Mus musculus: one gene and its partners. The protein of the gene in region 1 interacts with the protein of each later gene in a pairwise test. Links are inferred from orthologs where the notes say so. Each region holds a gene or a part of one and is shown in the gene's direction. Other genes may lie near its edges. The genes, in order: Vcp, Ubxn2a, Rnf115, Fam104a, Rpl9, Ubxn8 and Vamp2.

Region 1 (4,072 bases):
CAAACATCTCTCAGGTCAGTCTGTGTGGGTAGGAGGTGAAGGGTGAATTGAGTCAACCAGAGCCAACCAACCATCTTTTGACTATAATGAAAGTCAATGGATTGTCTTTTGGGACACAAGGACCTTAAGTCACAGCACTTGGTTGATTTTCTTGCTCTTGGGCACGACTGCATTTCTGAGTGTTCTGCAGTTGTCCTTGACTTGCATGAACCTCAGTGCTCTCCCTCCCCAGATAATATTTATACTCTATGGTAAGGAGTGTGTACTCCCAAGGCCTGAGAAACTGCAAAACCTGCATGATTACAAGAGAGTGCAAGGGCAATAGGGTGAAGTAAGAGCTGGGGTGCTGATTCAGAACTGGGGTCCAGAGAAGAAGAGGGGGTGGGGTAGGTGGGGCTAGGTTTTTGTTTTTTGGTTTGTTTGTTTGTTTGTTTGTTTGACTCGAGTTTAGTTATGCAGCATTATCTGGCTTCAAACTTTCAATCTACCTTTAGCCTCTGGAGTACTGGGATCTAGGATGTACACCACCATACCCAGCTAATTTTACCTTTTAAAAAATTTTATCTAATTAGTTTTGAGACGGGGTCTCACTATGTAGCTCTGGCTGGGCTGGCTGGAACTCTTTTTTTTTTTTTTTTTTTTAATAGATCAGGCTGACTCAAAAGTCACAGGTTGCTGCCTGCCTCCGAAGTGCTGACATTAAAAGCATGGACTACCACATTGCTTTTAAAATTTATTGAAATACTGTTTGGGACTAGAATTAAAGATATGGTCTTGTATCCTGGGTTGATCTCCATCTATTAGTCTTCCTGCCTCTCATCTTCCCAACTACTAAAAGTACAGACCTAGTCCATCAACCACGCCCTTGGTTGGAGCCAGTGTTTTAAAGGAGCATGAAGGATTTTAGTATGGTGGAGTAAGAGGATCCCTAGGATTGGCGAGAAATGAACAATGTGGGCTATTATTACAACCCAACTAAACTAATAAGGGTTCAGGCCTTTGTGCGAGGTTCTTCCAGCTGCTTATAAACTAAGGAGCCAATCAATTGAAGCCAAGTAGGAGAGGCCTCCTCCGAGGGATAAAGAGGATATGGCCTATTGCCTTTGTCGATTGGTCAAGACTCCCTATCCGTCGAGGAAGCGTAGTGCTGCGGCCAATTGACGTGGCGTTACTAGGCGTGTTGCAGCCTTGAGGCGGGGCCAGGCCACAAACGAATTTTCTGATTGGTTACGGTCTGCGGGTTGCTGGGGAGAGGCACGGAGAGGCGGGCACGAGTCCCAAGGCCGGCGCTGATTGGTTGGGGTTAGAGCAGCTTTCCTTCCGATGATTCGGCTTTTCTCGGTTCAGTCTCCGTGAAGCGTTTGCAGCCGTCGTTTGATTAGTCGCTGCCCCCCTCGCGGATTAGGAGCTAGCGTCTCCCGCCCGCCCGCCTGCCGCCCCGGTGCCCCTGGGAGGAAGCGAGAGGGAGGCTGCCAGAGGGTTTGTCACTGCTGTTGCTCCTCCGCCTCAGCGAGTCCAGCCCCGGCCTAGTCGGTCGCCTGCCTTTCTCATAGCCGTTACCCTCAGGCCGCCACAGCCGCCGACCGGGAGAGGCGCGCGCCATGGCCTCTGGAGCCGAGTAAGTGTCTGCGCGCGCCCGCCCTCCCGCTGGCTGCGGGGGCGCGCACCGTGGGACCCGCCGTGCTGGCTAGGCCCGGTCGGGCCGCGTCGGAGAGTCTAGGCCGGGAGGGAGAGAGAGGGAAGGAGAGGCCAGGGACGAGGGAGGGCCTCAGGCCGGGCTGTGCACCCGCGCGCCCCCTAGGTCGGGTCCGCGCTGGGCCTGGGTCGGAGCCTGGACAAGATGGTGCTGTGTCATGCAGGCCCCGACCGCCTGAGTAGCTCCCTCGGCGCGGCGGCCCCGGCCTAGTTAGACTTTGGGGTCCACACTCCCTGCGTGGAGACCTTTGGCGCTGGCACGCCGGTCGGCCATGTCGCCGACCACACGCAGAAGACCCTGAGCCTGAGAAGGGAAAACACTGCAAGCCCGAGGCCGCGACTGGGCCCGGTGGGCGTGGACTTGGGGCCACGTGAAGGCCTCAGGAGCCCTGAGACTCTAGGGAAGGCCGGGCCAGGGAGATCTGAGGAATCCAGCCCGGTCTCGGTGGATCTGGGACGGTGTCACTGCGGGAAGTTGGCATCTTCTGAACTACGTGTAGTGAGGGGCTGTTAGGGAGAGGGCAAGTCATGCCCTTCTCAAATGGCAGTTTTTCACTGTGGGAGACCTGTTGTAAACACCCGGAAGTTTTAACTAGGGGCTTTTTTTTTCGTTAGTGTTTTGCTTTGTGTATATATTTTTGTTTTTGCTATGATCGGAGGTGGCTAGAAAGGAGTTGGTTTTCTTTTATTTTTAGGCGCTGAAGTTAGAATCCGAGTTGTTTTTATTCTTTGTATCTTAGCTTTGAGAGCTTGTAGGTTAGAGTTGGCTTAACTCTTCAAAATAAACAGATCTCTATCCCCAAGCATCTATGTTGAGTCTCTGGACTCTTATAGCCCCACCTTCATCTTTCAGAGAGCATAAAATAAAACCTAGCCATCTCAGCCCATTTAGTTAGAAACTAGAGCTTCCCATACAAAAACAAAGCAAACAAAAAACTAGCAAGTGTAGGAAAATATACAAACCCAGAGGTTTTGAGGCCATTAGGTGTTTTGAGTGTTGTAGGTTTCATTTCTTTGGGATGAAGTATTCACTCAGTTGTTTGGCTAAAAGGACTTTTTTTTTTTTTTAAATAGCTAGGCTAGGATGGGTGGTTTTGTGTACATACATAATCCCAGAACCTGAAAGAAAGGCAGAATAGCACATTACTAGGCTATAGGCTAGCTGCACTGGGAGTCTACTTATTGAGCCCTTGTCTCAAAAAAAACAACAAAATACACTTTTAAAATAAATACTCTGTCAGTCTTTCAATTTTTTTTTAAGTTAAAATTCTTTTTTTTTTGAGGCAGAGTTTCTCTGTGTAGCCCTGGCTGTCCTGGAATTCCCTCTGTAGACCAGCCCGGCCTCAAACTCAGAGAGGTCTTTCTGCCTCTGCCTCCCAAGTGTTGGGACTAGTGGTGTGAGCTGCCACTGCCCCATGTTTTGTCCTTTGATATCAGGGACTCAAGTAGACCAAATTGACCTCAAATTCAGCCTTGTAGTCAAGGCTGTGTTTGAACTAGTCTTGCTGCCACCACCTTCCATATAAGGGGGCTACATGAATGTCACAGTATGCCCCACTTATATCTAGATTTTTTTTTTCTTTTTTTAAATTAGAATTCCTTTAATCTGGCATCATAGGCAGTTTCTGCCTTCATTGTGGTGGTTCTTACCTGAATTTCCAGGTTCCTTTTGTGGTCTTTGAGTTCTGGAAAGGACCTGAGTCATGCAGATGACAGGAGATTCCCTAAAGAACATAGAGAGCTGGAGTTTACCCTCTGCTCTTTTGGAGGTACCAGCTCTAATCCCCACGGGTAGCTGGAGAATTTCAGGAGTTTAAGGGCCTGCTACTCAGCCAGGGCTAGGGTCTGGATTGGTAGGTGGATTGGATGGAGGTTGTCCTGAAAAGCCCCTTTGAGAATACAATACAAAGTGATAACTTGAGGCACTCCTGTAAATCAAACAAGATGCACAGCCTCTGGGGGAAGATATTGTCGTAGATGTGGGCCAGTAGAAAATCTGGTGGACTTACACATATTTATTTTTTGAATCAACAAGAGCTAAGGAAACTCCCATTACCCTATAAAGTAATGGTTAGAGATGTAACAACATAGTTGAGTGTTGCATGCCTGTGATTCTAATAAAGACAGGAGGATCACTGCAAGTTCAAGGTCATCTTGGTTTACATAGCCAGGCAGAGCTATATATAGCAGGACCCTTTTTTAAAAACAAAATAAGTGAAGGTAAGCTATTTCCTGTGGCAGTGCTTTTTTGTTTGATTTTGCTGTCTCATCTCTACTCTAGAAGAGTGCTTGGTAGACATGCATAATATGATTACTGCTATCCTTGAAACAGTCTTGGTATGCAGCTCAGGCTGACTTGAAGCCTTTTGCCAGTTTT
Region 2 (4,150 bases), on another chromosome or scaffold:
CTCTAGATTTAGATTTAAGAGACCATTGTACCTGGGCAAAGTGGCACACACCTTTAATCCTAGCACTCAGCAGGCTGAGGCAGGTCAGTCTCTTTAGCTGGTCTAACTAGAGAGTTCCAGGACAGTCAGAGCTACACAGACCTTGTCTCAAAAACAAAACCAAACCAAACCAAACCAAACAAACAAAAAACAAAGAGACTATTGTATAGAGGAAAATCGATGAGATCTGCAACAGTTGCCTAGATTAGCTAGACAAAGTCTTACTCTCTCCCCCACTCCCACGTGTGCGTGTGTGTGCGCGTGCGTGTGTTTCCTCTATAGGGAAGAATAAATAAGGCTAGAAAGACGTGTGAGTAGGAAAATGTAATCAACCAACAATAGAGGAGACAGTGAATCACACAGGACATCAGAGACATTTTGTTTATTCCAAAATCAGTGTACTTTCTGGAGTGGCAAAAGGGAGAGGGGATGCTTCCAGGCTCAGGCTGAGGCTGTGAAAGTGTGGGAACCTGGAGAAGATATGCTACACTAAAAATGGTACGTCGGTACAGCAAGTATTTTGACCAGATAGCGGTTACAAGCAGTCCTGAAAAATCATTAAAAGGACAAAGACCGGGTGTTTAAAGAGTATACGCCTGACCTTGCTGTAAGTAGAATAAGGGGCATTCTGAAGTCCTATAAATCCTATCCGAAGCCAACTTCAGAGGCAGAGGCAGGAGGATCTCTGAGTTCCAGGACAGCCAGGGCTACACAGAGAAACCCTGTCTCACCCCACCCCCTAAATATATACACAAGCAAATAAATAAGTCCTCTAAAAGAAAGGGGTCTTTGTAGAGAGCCTTTTTAAGAACGCGAAGGGCGGGCAAGTTTCTTTTAACAGTCACTCTTCAGATAATAGGGCTCAGGTGAAGTTCGCTAACAGGATGCAAGAACTCTCTAAGGAAGAGCACAGGAGGCATAGAAAGAAATAGGTAAATCTGGATTATCAGGTGAACGCCCACCTAGTTCCAGCTTTCTCCGCGCCTCCTAAGGAAACAACAAGCAGCGGCACCTGCAGCAGCAAGAAGGCCACCGCCATTAGTGCGCGCCTTGCGGCAGCCTAGGAAAACCCGCCGCAAGAAGCCCCGCCCCCGGCGCGCTCCCGTTTCAGCCAGACAATTTCCTCACGGCCGCGCGGAGCCGTCCCCGGCGCGTTCCCGTCAGCCAGGCGCGCCGAGCCATCCCCGGCGCGCTCCCGTCAGCCAGGCGCGCTCCTCCGAGCCGCGCGGAGCCGTCCCCGGAGCGCTCCCGTCAGCCAGGCGCGCTCCTCCGAGCCGCGCGGAGCCGTCCACGCGCGCTCCCGTCAGTCAGGCTCGCTCCTCCGAGCCGCGCGGAGCCGGCGCCGGCGCGCGCCGGGCAGTCTGAGGGAGGCCGGTCAGATCTGCGCGGCGAGGCCGCTGGTCGCGACAGGGTTTCCCGGCGCTCCGGGGCTGAGGGGCTTCAGCCCAGCGGCGCCGGCGCTTGCCCTAGCCGGGGCACCGAGGACTAGGCCGTGGGGCCGCGCCCTGAGGTGAGTTTCCCGGCTCCAGGTCATGTTCGGTGGGTGACGTATCGGGCGGGTGGTTCCCCGGTGGCGCCCTGGGCTGTCGCCTGCGACGGCGACGTCTGTTCCGCAGTAAGTCGCCACCTGGGGCTTCTGGCCCGCGCGACTGCGGCCCGGGAAGGACGCTGGCGGACCGAGGCCTCCACCCGGCCCGGCCCGGCCCGGCCCGGCCCAGGTGAGTGCGGACCTGCAGCTGCCGGCTCTGCTGGCCGCGGGAGTCGGAACTGGGTAGAAGGACATAGCGCTTCTCTCTCTGGAGGCGTCTAGAAACTTCGGGTTAGGTGCTGTCGAGACATCTCCATTTCGAAGGCGAACGCTGCGAAAAGCGCACTCCTGAAATACAGAAGGACTAGATGGCTGAACGTTTCCTAATTGACTTCACCAGCCTTCCTTAACAGACTTTAACTGATGTTTTGGAAAGATGATGTTCACTGTTTTCCTAAATGACTTTTTTTCTTCTAGTATTCCCCCCCCCCCTTTCCTAAACTCGTGGTAATAAAAGTTTATTACTTCTCAGCAAAAATGAAGGTCAGAGTGGCTTCCAGTGTTTGTTCGTTTCTATGTAATCGAGATAAAAAATAGGGAACTGATTATCTGTTTTGACTCGGTTTTTTGTTTGCTTTGTTTTTGTTTTCTTTGTCTTTATCAAGTACCAGGCTGGACTTGGAATTCTCACACTCCCAAATGTGCTGGTATAACAGGCGTTGATTCATCTCCTGAGTTATCTTGATGTTGATACAGGGAATAACATCAATAACATCACTAACGTCAACGTTATTCCCTGTACTGGTGAAATGCAAAGGTCAAAATGTGTTCAGGTAGGAAAGAACACCTGAGTACAGAGTACTGGGAAGGATACTATAGATAGGTAGCAGTTACTACTTGAGCACTTACTTTTTTTGTTTGTTTGTTTTTGGTTTTTCAAGACAGGGTTTCTCTGTGTAGCCCTGGCTGTCCTGGAACTCACTTTGTAGACCAGGCTGGCCTCAAACTCAAAAATCCTCCTGCCTCTGCCTCCCAAGTGCTGGAATTAAAGGCGTGCACCACCACTGTCCTTACTCTTAAGAAATGTTATTTACTGAATGTGGCCAACGTTTTTCTGTATTCATATCTGTGCACCATTTTTGTGTCTGGTACCCGTGAAAGCCAGAAGAGGGCGTCGTCTTTTAAAACTAAACCACCATATGGGAGCTAGGAATTGAGCCAGGTTCTCTGGGAGAGCAGCCATTGTTCTCACTCAATGAACTATGTATGTCTCCAGCTCCTTGAGCATTTAATTCCATCCCCACCCCCCACCCCGCGCTTCTTTTGGGGGCTCAAATCCAGGGTTTTTTTTTTTTTGTTTTTTTGTTTGTTTTTTGTTTGTTTTTTCATAAGCTTGAATACTCTTTCTTGTACCTCTGAGTTACACCCCAGGCCTACATGAAGACTTTAAGTGAACTTTTACTGTGGAGCAGCACACAAATGCTCACTCACCCTAGCAGAGCACCATTGATGCTGATGGAGGCCAGCTTCCCTTGAATTTATTGGACTTACTTCTAGGTCATGGGTGACAGGTTACAGGACAGGTTACAGGTGACAGGTTACTTACAGGAGTACAGGTAACCCCAAAGCAGCTTCATTGCTGAAGTCTTACCCTCTCATGGATAATGACTTCCTCAGAGCTCATAGATGTAGTTCCCCCACTACCTCTCTCTTAACCTTGGACACTCCATAAATCCTAGAATTCAGAAGGCCATCAAGCATAACTTGTCAGCATTATATTCAGCTGACTAGGAAATGAGGGGAAGGGTTCGTGATTTCAGGGGAGGGTCTAATGACCCTTCCCACCCTCTTGTTCTATGAAGAAATATCAACGGGCTTGATCTTGAAGGTCTTTCGAAAGTCACAGCTGCTCTGATGAACGGGGTAATGGCTGTTATGCTTCAAGTACATCATTCTAATGCTTGGGAGAATTAGCTAATGCCTTAGTTAATGTTATTCAGTTTTGAAAACTTATGTACAACTAGGCTTTGTAATTCACACCTTTAATCCCAGCACTCAGAAGGCAGAGGCAGGCAGATCTTTTTCCAGGCCAGCCCAATCTATATAAGAACCTATCTCAAGCCGGGCGTGGTGGCACATGCTTTTAATCCCAGCATTCGTGAGGCAGAGGCAGGCGGATTTCTGAGTTCGAGGCCAGCCTGATCTACAAAGTGAGTTCCAGGACAGCTAGGGCTATACAGAGAAACCTTGTCTCAAAAAAACAAAACAAACAAACAACCTATCTCAAAGAAAGGAAGAGGTGGGGCAGAGAGGGAGAGAGGGACTGAGTCCTAAGAAATGATGGCGATTATTGAATCTACTTTTAGATTATATAGTATAATTAGGTAAAGAATTATTAAATAGGAATAAATGCTGGTAAATTAAGATAGAAACTAAGAGGAAGAAATAAAATATAAGCTATTTGTGATAAGGTGTTAATAGTGGATTTATTTTGAGCAGAGGTTTTATAGGTAAATAGGAATTAGGAGAAGGTTGACTTCTTAAAGAGGGAAGGGTCCATGCAAAGGAAATAGATGCCACAGA
Region 3 (2,658 bases), on another chromosome or scaffold:
GAATAGTTTATATCAACAAACAACACAGCCCTGCTGGCGTTCTTCCATGACCTCATCCTTCTGATAGGGGGTCCTCAGATGGAAGAGCAAGGGTGTGAGAGATCTTTAGGAAGGTTCTCCTGGAAATATGTTAGATGCAGTGAAGAGGAGAGAGAACAGAAGTGGGAATTGGGGAGACTCTACCTGGAGTTCAGATTGTGTTCTAGTGATGGTTGCAATGCTGACAGAAAGGAAAAGACAGATTTAGAGGTGTGATTTTCCGATTGTCATGGAGGCACACAACTTTAATCTCAGCACTATCAAGGTAGAGACAGGAAGATCTCTGAGTTCAAGGCTGGCCTGGTCTACATAGTGAGTTCTAGGCTAGCCAGGACTACATTGTGAGATAAGCAAGCAAGCAAGGAAGAAAGAAAAGTTCAATTTTAAAAAGAGTTAGTTTTATTACTGATTACATAGTAAGATGAAGGAGGCAAAGGATTATTAAAGGTGATTGTAAGGTTCCAGAGCTTTATAAAGGCAGCACTGCCACCATCAGTGATGGACAATCATGAACTGGCCCTGGGTCTGCTGAGATGCTGTGACAGTTAATTCTGAATTTATTGATTTTGAGGTGCTAGCTGAGAGTCCACGTAGAACTGAGTGGGACTGTCTTGAGGTTGGTGTTAGGGGAGTCAGCTGGTGTGAGGTTTTGTGTGTATTTGGATTGCTAGAGTTAGAGTTGGGATGCTGCCTGGAAGGCTGTTGGTTGTCGCAGCCGTGACGTTGAGTGAGAGCTGGAGTTAGGATGAGGGATGGGAGGGAGGAGAAGGGAGGAAGAGTCTCTTAAGGGGCAGTTCTCCTCAAATGCTTCCTCCTTGATCATCATCAGGGCCTGGAGCATAGCTCAACCATTATACTATTAACCACATTTCTGCAATTCAGAATTTGCCACTTGGAGCTCTCACTACATTGATTTGGAGTCCTGAGTGTACTTGTCCTCTGGTATAGCCTTTAACAGCTTCAGAGGACCTTGGGACAGCTACACTGAAGAGCGTAGTAAGGAAAGCACAGGAGACAGGTAGTTAAGGCAGGTAGTAGCCACTACTAAGGGTGCTCAGTCCCTGATGGTGGACAGGTTGCCACTGTTTTCTAGGCAGGACCTGCCTGACAGGCTGTCACACATTAGGCAAGATGCTTTCCCTATTTAATAGACAAATAAGTTTCTTCTCACCCGTTTTTTTTTTTTTTTTTTTTTTTTTGTGGCTTGTTTTGTTTGGTTAGGCAATTTTTTTTTAGAATTAGTTATTTATTTGCTTAATGTATTTGAGTACTTTTTCTGCATGTAAGACTGCATGTCAGAAGAGAGCATCAGATCCCATTACAGATGGTTGTGAGCCACCATGTGGTTGCTGAGTATTGAACTTAGGACCTCTGCAAGAGCAGTCAGTGCTCTTAACTGCTGAGTCATCCCTCCAGCCCTGCTTACCTATTTTTTAACTTAAAAACTCCATTTGTTTTGTGTATGTGGGCATATGTACCACAGTGCATGTGTGGAGGTCAGATAACTGTGGAAGTTGATTTCTTCTTCCATCATGTGAGTCCCAGGGACTAAACTTAGGTCATCAGGCTTGATAGCAACCCTTTTATTCGCTAAGCCACCTTACTGGGCCAGCTCTGCTAATTCTTCTAACTCATTACACTAAAGATTGGGCCTATTATATGATTCCTACCAGGTCTATTGGGATTGGCCCCATTCATTTGCATGTCTATTACTATTTCTGTCTCCATTTTGAATACAATTCATACGTCTCATCTGCCAACCACTTAGATATAACTTTTCTCCTCCATCCCCTTGTTGTGTACAGTGGGGGACACCTACGTTTCTTGGGTTGTTAGAGACATCTGGTTTGGTTTTGTTCTTTTTTGTTTATGAGGTAGACTTGGTAGCCAAGGTTAGCCTTGACCATCCGTGCTTCTGCCTCTCCCATGCTGGGGCTATAGGCCTGCATCACTTGCCTGCTCTTGGTTGTTTCCTTCCTTCCTTTTGCTTGTCACTTTAAAAGTGCACATCTTCCTCCAACAGATACGGGTTTAGAATGTCCAGTATGCAAAGAAGATTACACAGTTGAGGAGAAAGTCCGGCAGTTACCCTGCAACCACTTCTTTCACAGCAGCTGCATCGTGCCCTGGTTAGAACTGGTGAGTACAGCGGCTTGTCCCGTGACAGGGCAGCTGGCCCAGCTGGCTTTGGCTGGGCGAGGCTGGTTCAGAGTAAAGATGTGGCTGCAGTTCAGAGAGCCAAGTAGATGAGATTTTAACTTCCTTGCGGACCCTAGTACTGCTGGCATTGTTTTGTTTAATTATCATCCTCTCGTAGTGCTTCTAGCCACAGGACAGCCCCCCCCCCCCCCCCATGGCACTCCAGCAGCTTCTGAAGCACAGCTAGCTGATTGTGGTTGTCCCCATGGTGACTGGGCAGAGTTGGAAAGCTGTAACAGAATTGATGTAGAATAGCCTACCTACAGAGCCCAGAACATTTAACTTTCTGTCCTTTAAAGGTTTAATTTTTATTTTCTAATCATGTATCTATGTGTGTGGTTGGAATGGGTATGTACACATGAGTACAGGTGCCCTTGGAGGCCAGGAGAGGGGATTGTATTCCTTGGAACTTTGATTACA
Region 4 (4,344 bases), on another chromosome or scaffold:
CCATTACTTTATCGTTCATAAAAGGCACACCCAAACTGTTTCCCACCGAGTGCACCATAAGTCTTCTGTTAGTGAGAATGCACTGCCGCACTGAAGGGCACACGACAAAGACAATACATGGGCTTTCCAGTTTTTTTGTTTGTTTTGTTTTGGAGACAGGGTTTCTCTGTGTAGCCCTGGCTGTCCTGGAACTCACTCCGTAGACCAGGCTGGCCTTGACCTCAGAAATCCGCCTGCCTCTGCCTCCCAAGTGTTGGGATTAAAGGCGCGCGCCACCGCCGCCCGGTTGGACTTTCCAGTTTTAACGGTAGACTTTTTTGAGATGATGGGGTCTTACCTGGTAGCCTTGTCTTCCCTGGAACTCTCACTAGGTAGACCAGGATGGCCTTGAACTCACATAGATCAGCTTGCTCTGCCTCCTGAGTAGTGGGATTAAAAGGCGTGCATTACTACGCCAGACTCTACACCCTACACTTTAACAGGGGTTTCGTTTTCCTGCCTGACCTCTTGTCGACTCTCCTAAAGACCCCCATGCTTATGGATCACTGTTCACGTTTGGCAGAAACTCTGAATATCAGTTTGTGTAAGGTGGGGAGCTGATAGTACTGAGTCCTAGACAAAGAACTGGATTATGCTCCTGACAGAGAAAAGGGAATGCGTCTGACAACCAAAGTTAAGACTTCCCCAAGTCTTAGAGTACACGTATTCTGGTGGTGGTGGTGAGATCACATGGGAGACAAGGTCTCAAGTAGCCCAGGCTGGCTTCGAACTTGTTACACAGTCGAGGATGATTCTGACCTCCTGGTCTTGCAGCTTCTCCTCCCAAGAATGGGGATGACAGGTGTGCGCAACTCACGGCGGGCAGGGACCTCGCGATTCGCCACTGATCAAGCTCACCTCGCCAGCCGCGAGGCAGCTCCGTCCACACCGCCGCGTTCCCACGCCTGCCGGTCTCCCCCACACCTCTCGGTCCGGCCTCTTCCAGCAGGTGGGCGTGGCCCTTCCCGGTACGGAACTCCGTTATCCCGTTCGCCTGTTCCGCACTCCTCTCTTGACCTGCAACAAAGGTCGCGGAAAAATAGCCCAGCCCTTAGCTACTCCATGGAACGGGCTCCGCACCGTTCGGAGACGCGAAGTTCCACGCCGCACACTCTTAGAACCCGGAGCCCACCAACACCTTCCCAACCAGAGGACCCCTGAGCCTGTGGCCGTCCGCGTCTGTGCCTGATGGAGCTCGTCTGGTTCTTTTTAAAATTTTCACCTTAGAGAGGCTTAACGCAGAGACAAGTATCAATGATCGTCAAATAATGTAATTTATCTAAAATCTGGCTTGACTTTTACGTCGTGTCCTGTTTTGTTTTTGAACAGGCGGCTGCCCCGGACACCTAAACGGGGGTCCTGGAAGTTCCCGGTCAGTCTTCCCTCTGGGACCCGCCTCTTCCTGCGTGCGCGGTGATGGGAAAGCGCGGCCGGCGTCCCGCCTCCGCGCAGCCGCAGGAGGACAGTACCACGGCGCCTGCGACATGGGGAGGCGCGGAGGCGACACCGGAAGTGGCTGTGGTCCGGGTCGGCCCGAGGGGGACTCAGCGCCCGCAGCAACCACCCGCGCGGCGGCGGTCAGAGCTCAGACCCGTGCGGGTGGGCGTGGCGGGCGCCGGGACACAGCTCCGACTGTTCGCTGTCGGCGCGGGGCGGCGCCGCGTCGCTCGCCTTCACCAGCTGCCATGAGCGAGCGCCTCCGCCCCAGGTGAGGGAAGGGGGGAACCCGCTTTCTCCGCGGCCCCTCGGCCGAGGATGTGCGCTCTGGAGCCGAGGGGCGGACGGAGCCGGCGGGGTGGTGGTGCGAGGCTCTGGGCTGCGCTGCTCTGCGGTCGGAGGAGGCGGAGGGGAGAAGGTGGCGCCGCCTCTGACACTTGGACCCCGTGGGCAGCCAGGGAGGCGACGCTCTGGAATCCAGGGCTGCCCCTTCTCCGTCTTTTCCTTGTTTTCTTCGTCTTCTGCCCTTTCCGCTTCGGAATGAGGTTTGTTCGGCCCGACGAGACGGACGGTGTGGTCCTTCCTAAATTGAGGCGGGCGGTGGTGGTAGGGGGATGGGAGGGATGGCCGATCTGGAAGAGATGGCTCCCTTCGAGCGAGGCGCCTCGGAGAGGGGACGGGATGCTTCGGGGGCGGGGAGCTGCTGGCGCCCCAAGGTCAGGAGAAAGGCGGGGGTTGGGCTTAACCCCTGCAGCTGGGAGGGCTTAGGGCAGACCGCAGCGCTGTGCCCTCCCTCATCTGATGGACCCGGGTGGGTGGTGACCCACTCTCGGTTGTAGCATTAGCAGGCAGGATTCTAAACAGTTTGGATGAGGGGCCAGTTGGCTGGGAGCAGGGAGGTGGCTAACACCACGAGTTACTCTCAACCCTCACTAGGCGGGCGGCCCCTCGGGGCTTTAGGCCCGATCCAGATGAAGTTTCTTTTCTCCTTATTTTCCGTCTGGGAAGAAGTAAGTTGGGACGCCTTACCTCAGAATGAAGAAGGCTGGCTTTATTTCTTACTGGAAAGTCTCCTAATAAGATGCTTGACGATCTATCTACATCTACGCTAAGTTGTACTTTTTCATTTCTCTGGTGGAGAACAGAGAACGGATTTAGAGAGACTCATTTATTTATCTAAGTCTATTCAGGCTCGCGGCTCTTTATTCCGTAGTCGTCTCAGGCTTAAAGAAGGTGGATCGTAGGCTTGCTTTTTTATTTTCTCTCATAAATGATTTTACTTATTTTATTTTATGTGTATGAGTGGTTTGCCTGTGTATATGTATGTACATCACGACGTGCGTGTCTAGTGTCAACGTAGACTCAGAGGAGGGCTGGGAACAAAACCCCAGTCCTCTGTAGGACTAACAGGGGTCTTCCGTGGCTGGGCCATCTCCTCAGCCCTGAGTCTTGTTCCTTGCATTCTTTGGTTATGAATGTAATCATTGTTTTGCAAGGCTTCTCCCTGAAACAGTTATTTCATGGGACTGGGGTTCCCCAACATTCTGAGATGACTTGATCCAGTGGTGAGAATTTTAAGGTCCCTAGACTGAATTGAGTGACTGATTTTGGTTCTATAGTAATTGTAGTAGAAAGCCTGTACTTGTGTCAAAAAAAAAATGATCAAACTAAATTGGAAATTAGAAGGTGCTTGCCAGAATTATAATCTGGTCCATGGCATTAATGTACTCCAAAAGGTTTAATCTTACTGATTGTACAGATAGAATGAAGCCATAATCTTGCCAGTTATTAGAAATCATTGGAAGGTTCAAATTAGGTCAAGTTGGAATTATGGACCAGTTACAGTCACACCATTAGAGTTAGGGCTGTGACCTTTAGATGCAGCAAGCCTGAGCTGACTGCCATCTTTTAGATTCTTTTGGAATGTCTCCCTCATGTGACAGCCCTCAGCATTTTCTGTCACTAACAGATTTTTTTAAATCTAGTGCTGCAGACAAGTAGTGTAAGTTTGTGCTGATTACAGATTCTTTTTATCTAATATACTTATAGAAATCTTAGTGTGTTTATATATTTTGGTGACTTTTTTTCCCCCTCTTTCTGGTGACTTCTTTAAAAACCAGTTATCAAGGACAGACCTTTCTTGCCTAATTTTTATTTATTTATTTTTTTATTCTTTCTCATCACCCATGAGCTAGCTTGGCCCCCTCTGGTGTCAGACTTTCTCAGTAGACTGAGAACACTGTAGAAGGGTGGTTGTATGGTAAGGAAGTATGCCTTATCACAGATCCTTAGCGTCTACATATGAATTGGGAGAGAGACACCTATAGTAAGAAGCATTTGAGATGGACTATGATTGTGCTTGTCTTTAACCCCAGCCCTCAAGAGGCAGAGGATCCGAGTTCATGGCTAACTTGTTTTGTATAGCCAGTTCCAGGCCATCCAGGCTACCTGGTGAGACCTTTTATAATAAAATGAAAACCAGTTGTTGTACTTTCTATTTAAGTCTGCCTAAGGTTCTTTGAAGAGGACCAGGAAAATAGGACAGAAGTGAGATATGAAAAGTGATGGAGCCAGCCATTCTGGGGGTGATAGATCTAGCAATTGTTTTTCCCTAAGTGGAAAGGAGGTGCCTAGAAAGACAGTGAACCGACTGTAAACTTGTGATCTTGTCAATTATTAATAAGGGTATCGAAAGCTGAGTGTTCTAGGGAGGCATTTAATAATGAAAACTAAGAACAACAAACATGGAGCCTAGTAGAGCTCATTCTTAGCTCCTGACCACTGAAAAGAGGCCCGAGAGATGGTGCTTATACACTGAGAAACTGACAGATCTTACATGACTTGCCCAGAGGCAGATGACAACAGTAG
Region 5 (4,130 bases), on another chromosome or scaffold:
AAAAAAAAAAAAAAAAAAAAAAAAAAAAGCACAATGCCAGGCAGTGCATCTTTAATCCCAGCACTTGGGAGGCAGAGGCAGGTGGATTTCTGAGTTCGAGGCCAGCCTGGTCTACAGAGTGAGTTCCAGGACAGCCAGGGCTACACAGAGAAACCCTGTCTCAAAAAATCAAAACCAAAACAAACAAACAAACAAACAAAACCAAACAATGCACAAAGTCAAAGTGGAATCTAATGTTCAATTACCTTTCTCCTTTCTGGCGCTTTAAGTTTCCTTTATATTCATCCCATGTACTCTTGTCTGCAAGATCACCAGATACAAAATCTTGAAGGTCTGGTCCATTATGCAAAAATTCCTTTTTCTTATCTGGCAAAGAACTTAATGCTCTAACCGTGAACGCATATCTTCCAAATATCTACAAAAAGGGTTCAGTACAACATTCACTCAGTAGACTCTGAAATAATTTAGTTTTAACCCATTATAATACCAAAGCTAAAGAAATTGATTCAGAAATTATGTAAAACGATTTAAGAGCTCAAACTACGTAGATCAGAACCTGAAAAAGACTCAAGGTGAAAGAACCGTAAGTCACGGCGGCTCAAACACGTAATGCAGCTCTCAGAGGAGGCAGAGTGAGGAGTCGTCTTTGGTCTAAGAATTTAGTTTCAGGCCAGCCTAGATTACAGAGACCCTGATGCACGCTCAGCCATGACAAATGGGGGAAAAAAGTGGGACGCAGATCAAAGTTAACCGCTAAATATAGGTTAGAAAACCTTAGTGGGTGACTTAACATGCCACGTTTTCATGTCTTCTATTCCTAAAACAGGTACTAAAATATGTTGTCAACAAGTTTGCAATAATTAAGATATGCCACAGCTGTCGGGGCTTTTAAAAAAAGGATATCTGGAACAATTTCCCTAGTTTTGAACTTAGGATAAGCAATGGCGTTCCCGCCGCTCACCCGGGACCCCAGGCTGCGAGCTGTATCCCAGCAGCGTAGAGCCATCCCCCTCTTTTAGGTCTCAGGAGTGTCAAGGGATCGAGGGAACAGCACCCCCGGCACCGGACGCGTCCAACAACTCGTCGCTTGAGTCATGACGCGATACGTCGTCGCCGACCGGCGCGACTCGACTAGCTCGGCAATCGAGTAGTTCCGCCTTAAAGCCGTCGCTCGGGTCGTGACGCGACACGCAGGGCCCTGACGGATTACAAGAACGTGATGACGAAAGACGTTCTCTCTTTGCCCCATCTACTGCGAGGTGAGGAGCTTAGGGACCGGGTGCCCCGGGAATCTGAACCCATCCTCTGTTTGGGGACCCCGGCGGCATGGAGCCGATGCCCCAAGGCTTTGTCCCGACTGTCCCCCAGCACGACGTGCGTCCTTGGGACTTGGTGGCGCGAGCTGGAAGTGGCGTTCGGGCTTTCAGGCCCATCTCGGTCGTAGCCCTTCCGCCATGGCGCACCGAGCCGGGCTTCCTTACTCTTCTCCGGGGCCCCCGGTCCAGTCCTTGTCCCGGACACACCTGGGTCCTTGTTGCCGGCTTTCGTAGCTGGCGATTCCCGTTGGGAGCGGAACGCTGCCGGGTCTCGGGTGTAGAGCGTCCCCCGCCCCAGCCGTCTCACCCGGGTGTCTGTGTTTCAGGATGAAGACCATTCTCAGCAATCAGACTGTGGACATTCCAGAGAATGGTGAGTAGATGGCTCCCCGCCGGCCGCTGACGGCTTTCCTGCATGCTCTAAACCCCGGCCTATGGTCTCACCAGTTCACTTTCTCGTTTAGTCGAAATCACTCTGAAGGGGCGCACAGTCATTGTGAAGGGCCCCAGGGGGACTCTGCGGAGGGACTTCAATCACATCAACGTGGAGCTGAGTCTTCTTGGGAAGAAGAAGAAAAGGGTAAGAACTTGTGTCTTCCGATGCTTCGGGTGCTTGCTTGTAACAAAACCCGGTAACCGATGTTAATCCCCCACCCCATGCGTGGCCGAGTGGGTTACTCGGACTCAGTTCTTTTATGAGTGAACTTGGGTGTGTGTGTGTCGTCCCTCTGGTGTCCTGTGCGTGTGACATACGGTGCATTTGTACATGGCTTTGCGTGCTAGTACTCGCCAGCTAAAAGTGCTGTGTTTTAATTCTAAAGTTGTTGTGTTTCAGCTCCGGGTTGACAAATGGTGGGGTAACAGAAAGGAACTGGCCACCGTCAGGACCATCTGCAGTCATGTTCAGAACATGATCAAGGGTGTCACGCTGGTAAGTCAGCCCTCCACTCTGCCCTTTAACCCTTTGGAAGAGGTTCCTTGGGTGTGTATAAATGTCTAGGGCCAGGATGGACTGTACTTCTACAAAGGAGGCACTTTCAGATATTGGGGGTGGGTTAGCACAGATCAGACCCAGGAATTTGCTGGGCAGGCTCCTTTACTTCTGTTTCAGGGGTTTTGTTTGTTGGTAGATACATATAGTGGAGATTGCTGGCTGGTATGTTTGGGACTCAATGGATAGAAAAGACAGCCAGAGTTATACTCTGTCTCAAAAAAACAAACAAAAAGATCTGACTTGTGCATCTCTGAAGTTACTGTTCTAGATCCTTTCTCCCAAAACAGTTAATGCTGAAGAGGTGTTGTTTTATAAACACAAGCTGTACTTTGTATACCTATTGGATCGTGTTACCCTGTTGCTCCTGGGGAGGACTGGGCCTTTTGTTTAGTCTGGAGTCACTTATTATCTGGTGGTGTCTGTAGTAACTCCACAGATGCCTAATGCCAAAAATGAGGATCTTATGCCCTCAAAGGATGAGATAGTAAAAGAAAGCTTCCTCCTGGAGCTTTGGGAAGATGTTGCAACTTGCATATGGTGGGTAGAGTGCGTGTGTTAAATTTCCACGACATGACAAAAGCACCTTAGGGCATTTAGAGCTGACTCTAAATTCAGCCTGGGGAAACTGAAGAAGAGGAATCTCAAAATCTAGGCCAGCTGAACCGAAAACTTTGAGTTTGTTCAGGATGGCTCACAGTTGCTTGTTTGATGCAGGGCTTCCGATACAAGATGCGGTCTGTGTACGCTCACTTCCCCATCAACGTCGTCATCCAGGAGAATGGCTCTTTGGTTGAAATCCGAAATTTCTTGGGTGAAAAATACATCCGCAGGGTTCGGATGAGGACAGGTGTGTGTGGGCCTTGAGGGATGATGGGAACTTGCTACAGTTCTTTGTCCTTGGGTCTGGATGGAGCCTTGGTGTTCGGGTGTGGTGAAGACTGTTGGGTGGTCCTGAGCTTGAGGTTTTCCTGAAGAGGGAGTATGCTGAAATAGTTGTAGGATGCATCAGCCTTTTGTGGGATCTGGGAGTCACATTTGTCATCTGAGATGACAGGAGGTTCAATTCCAACCCTAAAGTCTTAGAGAACTTGATTGGTTGCTTGGGGTTTTAAATGGAGTTGTATTGGTGAGATGTCTCTCCTGTTAACGCTGTTGAATACACACCTCTTTCAGGTGTGGCTTGTTCTGTCTCTCAAGCCCAGAAGGATGAGTTAATCCTTGAAGGAAATGACATTGAACTTGTTTCAAATTCAGGTGTGTATATTTGTCATAACAGACAGTAACATTTTATCTGAGCCTTGAGGTTGAATGTGTGTCTGATTTCTGTTTCCAAACTTCTGAGAAACAGGAAGAAATCCATTGTGGATCTGTTGTGTAGGTATTTGTATGCTGTGCTTTGTATCATGAGTACAAAATGGTTGTGTGTGCTCTGCTCGTAGATGTTCAAATTGGGTGGCACATGGCTGGCTTGGTTGGGAAAGTATTATTCGTTTTTATGTCTATATTGGGGTGTGTATGCCACTGCTCAGATGAGATCCAAGGACAGTGAAGGAGCCCCTCCTGTGTAGGCTTGAGGGATTGAGTTCTAGTTAGTTGGGCTTGTATGAGATGAATTTGGCTATGTACTTTTTTGTGTCCTGTGTAGCTGCCCTGATTCAGCAAGCCACAACAGTTAAAAACAAGGATATCAGGAAGTTTTTGGACGGCATCTATGTGTCTGAGAAGGGAACTGTGCAGCAGGCTGACGAGTGAGGAGGCCTCAGGTGGGTGCCCATGTCTGCAGCTGACTGCTTCGGATGAGCACAGTGTGATTAAAAAGG
Region 6 (3,636 bases), on another chromosome or scaffold:
TCTGTGTAGCCCTGGCTGTCCTGGAACTCACTCTGTAGACCAGGCTGGCCTTGAACTCAGAAATCCGCCTGCCTCTGCCTCCAGAGTGCTGGGATTAAAGGTGTGCGCCACCACCGCTGGCACATGTTTTGAATATTTGAAAAGTATGTAGTGTTCATATCTAAAGACTTAGTCTCAGAGAAAATGCATTTGATTCTTTGAACTTCAGAATTAAAAAGTGCTTCTTTGTTTTGGATTCAGAAGGAGAAAAAGAGAATGAGAAAAGACGGAGACTCGTGAGGGAAAGGCAACAGGAAGCCCAGGGTGAGAAGGTAAGGCTCAGCGCTTGAGGGCGTGAGGGCGCCTTGGGGCTGCCTCGCCATCTGCGTGGGAACAATCACTGATGGCTAATGCAGAAGGCATAACATTTTACCTTCCTTTCTTTTCTGAGACAAGGTCTCTTGTATTGTAAGGCGACCTTGAATTTACAATGTCATTGAGGATGACCTTTCTTCCACTTCTTAAGGGCTGGGATTACCATACTCAATGTTGACTCTTTAAAATTACAATTAAAAAAAAACCCTTATTTATTACATTTTATTCCTTCTTCATTCATGTGTCTGTGTGACACATGCGGAAAGAGTTGGTTCCCTCCTTGCCCCAGGGTTTGAACTCAGGTGGTCAGGCGTGGAGACAGATGTCTTTACCCACTTGGACAGTTGGACTTGCCCTGGCCACTGTTGTAGCCACTGATGGTCTCGGTCTCAGGATCTTCTGGTCTCAGTTTGGTGGCCTGAGTGCTGAGATAAAGGATATGTGCTTCCATTCCCAGAACATCCATGTCTTACATATGATATATATGTATGTGTGTATATATATAATTAAAAAAAATTATTTCCGAGTGTTAGTCACTGTTCTGTTGCTGCAAAGAGACACCACAACCAAGACAACTTTTCTAAAAGGAAGCTTTAATTAGGGGCCTGCTTAGTCCATGATCATCATGGACGGAAATAAGTATGGTACTGCAGGAGTAGCTGAGAGTTTTACTGCCTGGTCCTCAGGTAGCAGGCAGAGTGGAAGATGCTGGAGCTGGCATGGACTTTTGTTTGTTTGTTTGTTTGTTTTGTTTTGTTTTTTTGTCTTTTGAGACAGGGTTTTTCTGTATAGCCCTGGCTGTCCTAGAATTCACTTTGTAGACCAGGCTGGCCTCGAACTCAGAAATCCGCCTGCCTCTGCCTCCCAAGTGCTGGGATTAAAGGCGAGCGTCACCACACCTGGCTTGGCATGGACTTTTTTTTTTTTTTTTTAAAAATAAGTACACTGTAGCTGTCTTCAGACACTCCAGAAGAGGGAGTCAGATCTTGTTACGGATGGTTGTGAGCTGTGGTTGCTGGGATTTGAACTCAGGACTTTTGGAAGAGCAGTTGGGTGCTCTTACCTGCTGAGCCATCTCACCAGCCCCCCATGCCCGACTTTTATTTCCTTTTTTTTTTTTTTGGCATGGACTTTGGAAACCACAAATCCCACCCCCAGTGACACACCACCTCCCACAAGCCTGTCTTAGGGTCACTATGGCTGTGATGAAACACCTTGATCACAGCCACTCTTATAAAGGAAAGCATTTGATTGGGGTCGGCTTACAGTTCAGAGGTTTAGTCCATTGTCTTCTTTGCTGGACACATGGCAGCGTGCAGGCAGATGTGGTGTTGAGGAGGTAGCTGAGAGCTCTACATCCTGATTGGCATGCAGCAGGGAGAGAGAGACACTGGGCCTGGCTTTAGCTCCCCCTCCCCCACCATGCATAACAAGGCCTCCTCATTGAAGGATTGCATTTCCCAATCGTGCCAGCCCCTCACCACTAAGCATTCAAAGAGATGAGAGCATGGGGGAGGGGGGCGTTCCTATTTAAACCCCCTTAGGTTTCAAACCTTGCTCTTGATTTAGAGCGTAGACAACACTAATGTATAGTAATTGCTCGTTCTTGCTCCACCAGGCCAGCAGATATATAGAGAATGTTTTAAAGCCTCAGCAGGAAATGAAGTTGAAAAAACTGGAGGAGCGGTTTTATCAGATGACAGGGGAGACCTGGAAGCTGACCGCTGGCCACCGACTCCTAGAGGTTAGAGAACTCTGCTTTTGTGTTTTGGATACTATTGTTTGTTTCCTGTTGGTGTGTGTGTGTGTGTGTGTGTGCACGAGCATGCTCGTGTACACACACACACACACACACACACTCACACACACACACACACACACACACACACACACACACACACACACACACACACACACATTTTATGCCCAGTGTGTACTTGTCCATATAGGCACATGCTGGAGGTAGTCCCAGTCCTGTATTCTACTTTGGAGAGCTCACTCCAGCTGAGCTCACAGTTTTACCTAGGCTGCCTGGACAGGTCTGGGTCCTGACCTAACCCCCACCCCATCCCCAACTCCCATGTCACCCCGCCTGTTTAATGTATGGGTCTGGGGCTTCTAAACTCAGGTCCTTATGAGCAGAGCAGCAAGTGCTTTCTCACTGAGACATCTCCCCAGCTCCTGTGTGTCCTTTACATATATTGCTAAGGCCCATATTTATGCTCATGTTTCCTTGTATATGCAGTTATTTGCATGTATGTGCTTGGTAGGGTTTTGAGTCTGGGTCTTGCTGTGGAACTCAGGCCAGCCTTGAACTCATTTTGTTGCCATGGTTGACCTCCCGCTTGCAGCGATTCTCCTGCCTCTGTCCCGTAAGTGCCGGGGTTGCAGGCAGACACCACAGCGCTTGACTCCGAATCAGTTTTATTATTCGGTGCATTTGTGTATGAAGTGGTTTTATACTGTGACAAATAGGTGCTCTCTGAGAAAACTGCCGAGTCACGCTGTTCTGAGGAACTTCTGATCTTTGCTTAAGTAAAATATTCAGATACCCAGAGTATTAAGCTCACATTAAGAAATAGATGTATTCATTTTTATTTTATGTGCATGAGTATTTTCCTTGCATGTATTCATGTGTACTCAGGAGAGGGCGTCAGAGTCTCTGAAACTGGAGTCGAATGGTTGTTAGCCTTCATGTGTGTGCTGGGAACCAAACCTGTGTTGTCTATAAGAGCAGAAGGTGTTCTTCACTGCCGAGCCATCTCTCCAGCCCTAAACTCACATTGGATGGCTCACGGTTGGTTCTGTTTCTGAAATCATGGGCAATGATCGTGTGTTGTCATTTGGAAGTGGAAGGTTACAGTGTAAGTATTTTACAGAGAAAAGGGATACCCAGGCTTTACAGGTTAAAGATACCTGTGACAGATTTACAGTAAGGCCACCTTTTGGTGTATGTTGTGTTTCCGGCTTACAGGGCATCTGACATTGTCTTGTAAAGAAAGGGATCCAGTAAAGGTGCCAGGGTGCTTATGCTGTCTACAGAGCCAGTTCTTCCTTGTTTCACAGTCGCAAACATACCATACAATAGTCAAGGGCCAGTAGTAACATTGATATCAATTCTGGGCAGTACACAGTGCCACTGCTCTGTGCAGTGATCTCCTGTGTATGTGGTGACATGTGGACAAGGCCACAGGACATCAAATGTGTTCGCTGTCACACTCCACCTCATTTATGTCATTTTCGTTTTATTACTTTATTTGTGTGGGTGGGTGTTTTTCCTGC
Region 7 (4,244 bases), on another chromosome or scaffold:
TCAGGAGCCCAGCCTCACAAAGACCAGGCTAATGGTTGCTCCTGGAAGCTGGAGGCAGCCCAGAGCGAATTCTGCACCCAGTACGCCCTCCCCTGCTCTTTCACCTCCCCCAGACAGCTGGGAACTCACACCTCAGATGACAGAACTTGTCCTGGGGCTTCTGCTGGGAGGGGGTTGGGCACTGCAGCACAGGAGGCCCTGGGAAGCCCGGGAGTGGGAGGAGGAGGAAAGCCAGACCCTGCCTGTCTCTGAGAATAAGGCTCTCTCAGGGATGTAATGAGTACTCCCACATCAGTAGGTCCTCCCCTAAAATGCCTCCTTCACCCTGGAGGCTTACTAAATAGACAGCTGCTCCCCGGTTCTTTCTCTCCCTAGATGCAGGATGGGAGTGTGTACAGCTGCCTTGGCTGTTTAGTGTACTTAAAATGGAGCAATCAGGAATGGACCAGGCCTAAGAGAATATCCTATTGTGTTATCTAGATCAAGCCATTTGACAAATATTGAGTGTCTCCATACATGATATGCTTAGTGTTTAAGGTGCAGGGAGAGGCAGCTGGTTCTGTCAAGGTCACGTGTGTGGGATTAGTCCACATGTAAAGTTGTGCCTATAACCAAAGTACTTCAGGTGCCACCCTTGTCTACTGTCTCTTTTCAGCCCAGGCTCTATGCTAGAGTCAAAGCTGAGGGGGGCAGTTGACCCCAGACGGGATCCAGCCTGTGGTATCACCAGACAGTCTGGGCCCTTCCTGGAGTCTCTAGCTTGTCTAATCTTTTTGGGGCCTGCTTGGGCTTTACCTGCCAAGTAGTACACCTGGTGAGAACTTCATCTGTAAGGATGGGCAGTTTCTCTCTCTCTCTCTCTCTCTCTCTCTCTCTCTCTCTCTCTCTCTCTCTCTGTGTGTGTGTGTGTGTGTGTGTGTGTGTGTGTGTGTATGCTTCTGTTACTCCTTTTGCCCTGACCCAGCTAGGAAATCAGAAGCCTCAGTCCTCCCTTGAGACATTCACTTGCAGGGTGATGGGTGAGATTAGTCCTCACGATTCCCCTCCACTCCAGCGTCAGAATTCCAGTTATCAGTATTGCTCTGGCGCCTGCCTTGGTCGCTTCTCATTTTTTCACCCTCAACCCATAGACCAGGTGTTGGGACCAGGTCGTAGGATGAGACGTTGGGCTATATGGCATAAGGACCGGTGTATCCTCTTCAAAGATAAGGGAGGATGTATTGGGGGGTGGGGCTGTATGGATTTCGGTTGTGGGTGCCAAAAGAGGCAGGTGCCTTGGGGGCGGCAGTGGGTTGGCGAGCTGGCCCCACAGCCAGACCCAACTAGGCGACCCCCGGCCCTGCAGCGCCCCGCCCCCGCGGTCCGCTTGCGACGTGTCGCCTGCCGCGCCCCGCCCACGCCGCAGTACCCGGATGCGGGTGACGTGCGGCCGCCATCTTCCAGTCCCGGGTAGCCAGCGCCAGTCGGAGCCAGCGCGAGCCGCCGCCGCCGCCGTCGCCGTCACTGCCTCTGCCAAGTCCACTGCCCGCTACCCCCGCCATGTAAGTCAGCCGCCTGCCACTCGCCACCCGCGGATGTTCTGCCCCTTGCGGGCCGCCACCCCAAGGAGTGGACCGGGAAACACGGGGGTCCCGCCGCGGGCCAGGCTGGTGCCCATGACTGCGGGCGGATGCCGGGAACCGGGTCCCTGGCGGTCTGGCACGGGCGATGGCTGCCGGAGGGAGCAGACCCAGCGTCCACCCTCCGCCCCGCCCCTGTCACTATGGCCGTCAGTCATTTCGGGTCGACCCCGGGCAGCATCTACGAGGTCGCCCTCATTTAACCAGAGGGGAAATTGAGGCATGAGGAGGGTCTCTCAAGGTCACGCAGCTCAACCTTAGAGTGACTGTCTCCCATCGGGTGGCCTTCTCGCGCAAGAGAGGACTGGAGGGACTGTGGATGGACAGGTGGATGGGTGGAGCCCCGGCCGTAGGGCCAGAGGCTTCAGGCCTCGAGTCTTAATCCGTTTCTCTTCCTTAGGTCGGCTACCGCTGCCACCGTCCCGCCTGCCGCCCCGGCCGGCGAGGGTGGCCCCCCTGCACCTCCTCCAAACCTTACTAGTAACAGGAGACTGCAGCAGACCCAGGCCCAGGTGGATGAGGTGAGTGTGTGTGTGTGTCTGTGTCTGTGTCTATGTCTATGTATGTCAAAGATGCAAGATGATGGGCTGGCAAATAGGTGTGGGAGCCCATCTTGGGTTGAAGGTAAAGACAGTTTATGCTTGTGGGTTTGGTCGGAGACCTGCCTCATCCCCTTTCTGTCTCCCTGTTAGCATGCACTTGGAAGGGCTGCAGGATGAATCAGTTGAGCTAGCCTGGGGTGTGCCAGCTGGGGCAGGTGTGCTCTGGTGATAGGCGGATCCAGGCCCTATAGATAGAGGGTGTTGCTGAGACATCTGAGCGCTATGGTAGCGGCATGACCCTGATGTGTGCTCCTTGCATGTCCCCTAGGTGTGCTAGGCATGTTCTGTGTATGTCCTTGGCATGTTAGCCTGGAAACATCGGGGTGCATGTTCCACTTGTGCCACGATGGGCACATGTTCAAGAAGTGCCCTCCTTGAGGCATGCCTTGGCACACCCCCCTGCCTCGTGGACCCCTCCCTCAGGTGGTGGACATCATGAGGGTGAATGTGGACAAGGTCCTGGAGCGGGACCAGAAGTTGTCGGAGCTGGATGACCGTGCAGATGCCCTCCAGGCAGGGGCCTCCCAGTTTGAAACAAGTGCAGCCAAGCTCAAGCGCAAATACTGGTGGAAAAACCTCAAGGTAAAGGGGAGGAGATGGGGACAGGTTGGGAGGGGCAGTGGGGAAGTAGGGTGTCACTGTGTCATTCACCTCCCTCTCACTCTTAGATGATGATCATCTTGGGAGTGATCTGCGCCATCATCCTCATCATCATCATCGGTGAGTGGGGCCAGAGGCCAGGGCCCCTCCCCTGGGGAGGTAGAGGCTTTCCCTGGGGAGCCTGGGCTTTGAAGGTCACTAACCTAGTTTTTACTCTGCAACCAAAACACACTTTGCTGCTATTGGCAGTTCTGACTCATTTAGAGCCCAAAACTTGAGTGTTGTATAGCCCTGCTTTCCCTGGTTATGGGTCAATCCGGTTAAGATTTTGGGACTAGGAATACCGGGTGGGGTCCTGGTGTTCGTCTAGGAACCCTTTGAGCCTAAAAGCTCCATCTGGGGATTCTAAAACGGGAGTAGGAGACAGGAAAGGGTGAGGTCTCGAACACCAACCACCAGGATACCACTTACTCCACTGTTTGAAAGCTACCGTCACATACCCAGTGCATTAAAGGTTTTATGCCCCTTTGTCCAGCCGTGGAGTTTAAGGGACCTCAATACCCACTTGCCAAGTCCCTTTGAAGAAACTGAGGCTGAGAGGGAAGGGATGTCAGCCAGTGGGGGAGTGGGGAGGCTTGGAACAGGGCCAGGCCTGACACACTGCTTTCTTTCTCTTTCTCCCCCTCTCCTCGTCCTCCTTTCTCCCCCTCTCCCTCGTCCTCCTCTTGCCCTCTCTCCACAGTTTACTTCAGCACTTAAATCCCTGAGGAGTCTGCCCTGCCTAAGAAGGGCCTCTCCCCCACCCCCAGCCGTTCCTCCACCTCTCAGCCATATCTTTCAGCCCCCTCCCTTGGATCCGTGTGTGTGTGTGTGTCCGTGTGTGTGCCCCCTGTAAATAGCCAGCTGTTATTTATACATATATAATATTATATATATTTGGTCTGTTTGTAGTTTTATTACTAGAAGATTTTTTCCGGTTGTCCTTAACACCCCTTCCTGAGGTTCCCATCACCTCTCTCTCACCCTCTGTCCCTTTTCCTCTTTCCTGATCAGCCCCAAGTCCCTTCATTTGCATCTGCTATGCAATAGCCCCTCTCCTCCTTCCCTTGGATTTAACCGATCTTTCCCTTATCTTCCCTGTACAATCCCAGGCCCTCCCAAAACAAAAGCAAACCCCACAGAAACAAACAGAACACCCCACCTGTCTAGGCTTCCCTAGGCTGCATCTTTGTATCCCTTGGGAGGCTCTGAGACTGGTTCCACTTGGTCCTAAGAATCCCAAGATTTTCTGGGAGCTTCCAACATGTTGATTAGCATATCATTTGCATACGCTGTCTGTTTCATTTTGTTTTGTTTGTTAGTTTTTTGTTTCCTTTCTGATCCATCACTCTTCACTCTTCTGTGTTTTTTCTTTCTTTCTTTT

What was found.
Region 2: the proteins of Vcp (region 1) and Ubxn2a interact in binary tests that used the Homo sapiens proteins (3 or more experiments, as listed by UniProt). The link is inferred for Mus musculus from reciprocal best matches to the Homo sapiens genes VCP and UBXN2A.
Region 3: the proteins of Vcp (region 1) and Rnf115 interact in binary tests that used the Homo sapiens proteins (3 or more experiments, as listed by UniProt). The link is inferred for Mus musculus from reciprocal best matches to the Homo sapiens genes VCP and RNF115.
Region 4: the proteins of Vcp (region 1) and Fam104a interact in binary tests that used the Homo sapiens proteins (3 or more experiments, as listed by UniProt). The link is inferred for Mus musculus from reciprocal best matches to the Homo sapiens genes VCP and VCF1.
Region 5: the proteins of Vcp (region 1) and Rpl9 interact in binary tests that used the Homo sapiens proteins (3 or more experiments, as listed by UniProt). The two-hybrid records come from large-scale screens. The link is inferred for Mus musculus from reciprocal best matches to the Homo sapiens genes VCP and RPL9.
Region 6: the proteins of Vcp (region 1) and Ubxn8 interact in binary tests that used the Homo sapiens proteins (3 or more experiments, as listed by UniProt). The link is inferred for Mus musculus from reciprocal best matches to the Homo sapiens genes VCP and UBXN8.
Region 7: the proteins of Vcp (region 1) and Vamp2 interact in binary tests that used the Homo sapiens proteins (3 or more experiments, as listed by UniProt). The link is inferred for Mus musculus from reciprocal best matches to the Homo sapiens genes VCP and VAMP2.

The regions. Positions count from the first base shown.
Region 1 is NC_000070.6:42,997,708-43,001,779, reverse strand, and holds the start of Vcp (transitional endoplasmic reticulum ATPase), read left to right. Parts: upstream 1-1,272; 5' UTR 1,273-1,601; coding exon 1,602-1,618; intron 1,619-4,072. UniProt on the Homo sapiens protein: Necessary for the fragmentation of Golgi stacks during mitosis and for their reassembly after mitosis. Involved in the formation of the transitional endoplasmic reticulum (tER).
Region 2 is NC_000078.6:4,904,748-4,908,897, reverse strand, and holds the start of Ubxn2a (UBX domain-containing protein 2A), read left to right. Parts: upstream 1-1,344; 5' UTR 1,345-1,549; intron 1,550-4,150. UniProt on the Homo sapiens protein: Acts to repress the ubiquitination and subsequent endoplasmic reticulum-associated degradation of CHRNA3 by the STUB1-VCP-UBXN2A complex in cortical neurons.
Region 3 is NC_000069.6:96,786,508-96,789,165, forward strand, and holds part of Rnf115 (E3 ubiquitin-protein ligase RNF115), read left to right. Parts: intron 1-2,062; coding exon 2,063-2,178; intron 2,179-2,658. UniProt on the Homo sapiens protein: E3 ubiquitin-protein ligase that catalyzes the 'Lys-48'- and/or 'Lys-63'-linked polyubiquitination of various substrates and thereby plays a role in a number of signaling pathways including autophagy, innate immunity, cell proliferation and cell death.
Region 4 is NC_000077.6:113,681,265-113,685,608, reverse strand, and holds the start of Fam104a (protein FAM104A), read left to right. Parts: upstream 1-1,457; 5' UTR 1,458-1,523; coding exon 1,524-1,747; exon of another isoform or gene 1,748-1,794; coding exon of another isoform or gene 1,795-2,021; intron 2,022-4,344.
Region 5 is NC_000071.6:65,388,505-65,392,634, reverse strand, and holds the start of Rpl9 (60S ribosomal protein L9), read left to right. Parts: upstream 1-1,203; 5' UTR 1,204-1,259; intron 1,260-1,642; 5' UTR 1,643-1,643; coding exon 1,644-1,689; intron 1,690-1,780; coding exon 1,781-1,896; intron 1,897-2,151; coding exon 2,152-2,247; intron 2,248-3,024; coding exon 3,025-3,157; intron 3,158-3,483; coding exon 3,484-3,564; intron 3,565-3,955; coding exon 3,956-4,062; 3' UTR 4,063-4,073; intron 4,074-4,130. Other genes in the region: Lias (lipoyl synthase, mitochondrial isoform 1 precursor), read right to left, coding at 246-415, 962-1,006.
Region 6 is NC_000074.6:33,631,964-33,635,599, reverse strand, and holds part of Ubxn8 (UBX domain-containing protein 8), read left to right. Parts: intron 1-240; coding exon 241-311; intron 312-1,972; coding exon 1,973-2,098; intron 2,099-3,636. UniProt on the Homo sapiens protein: Involved in endoplasmic reticulum-associated degradation (ERAD) for misfolded lumenal proteins, possibly by tethering VCP to the endoplasmic reticulum membrane. May play a role in reproduction.
Region 7 is NC_000077.6:69,087,087-69,091,330, forward strand, and holds the start of Vamp2 (vesicle-associated membrane protein 2), read left to right. Parts: upstream 1-1,441; 5' UTR 1,442-1,539; coding exon 1,540-1,541; intron 1,542-2,019; coding exon 2,020-2,140; intron 2,141-2,644; coding exon 2,645-2,803; intron 2,804-2,889; coding exon 2,890-2,941; intron 2,942-3,563; coding exon 3,564-3,580; 3' UTR 3,581-4,244. UniProt on the Homo sapiens protein: Involved in the targeting and/or fusion of transport vesicles to their target membrane. Major SNARE protein of synaptic vesicles which mediates fusion of synaptic vesicles to release neurotransmitters.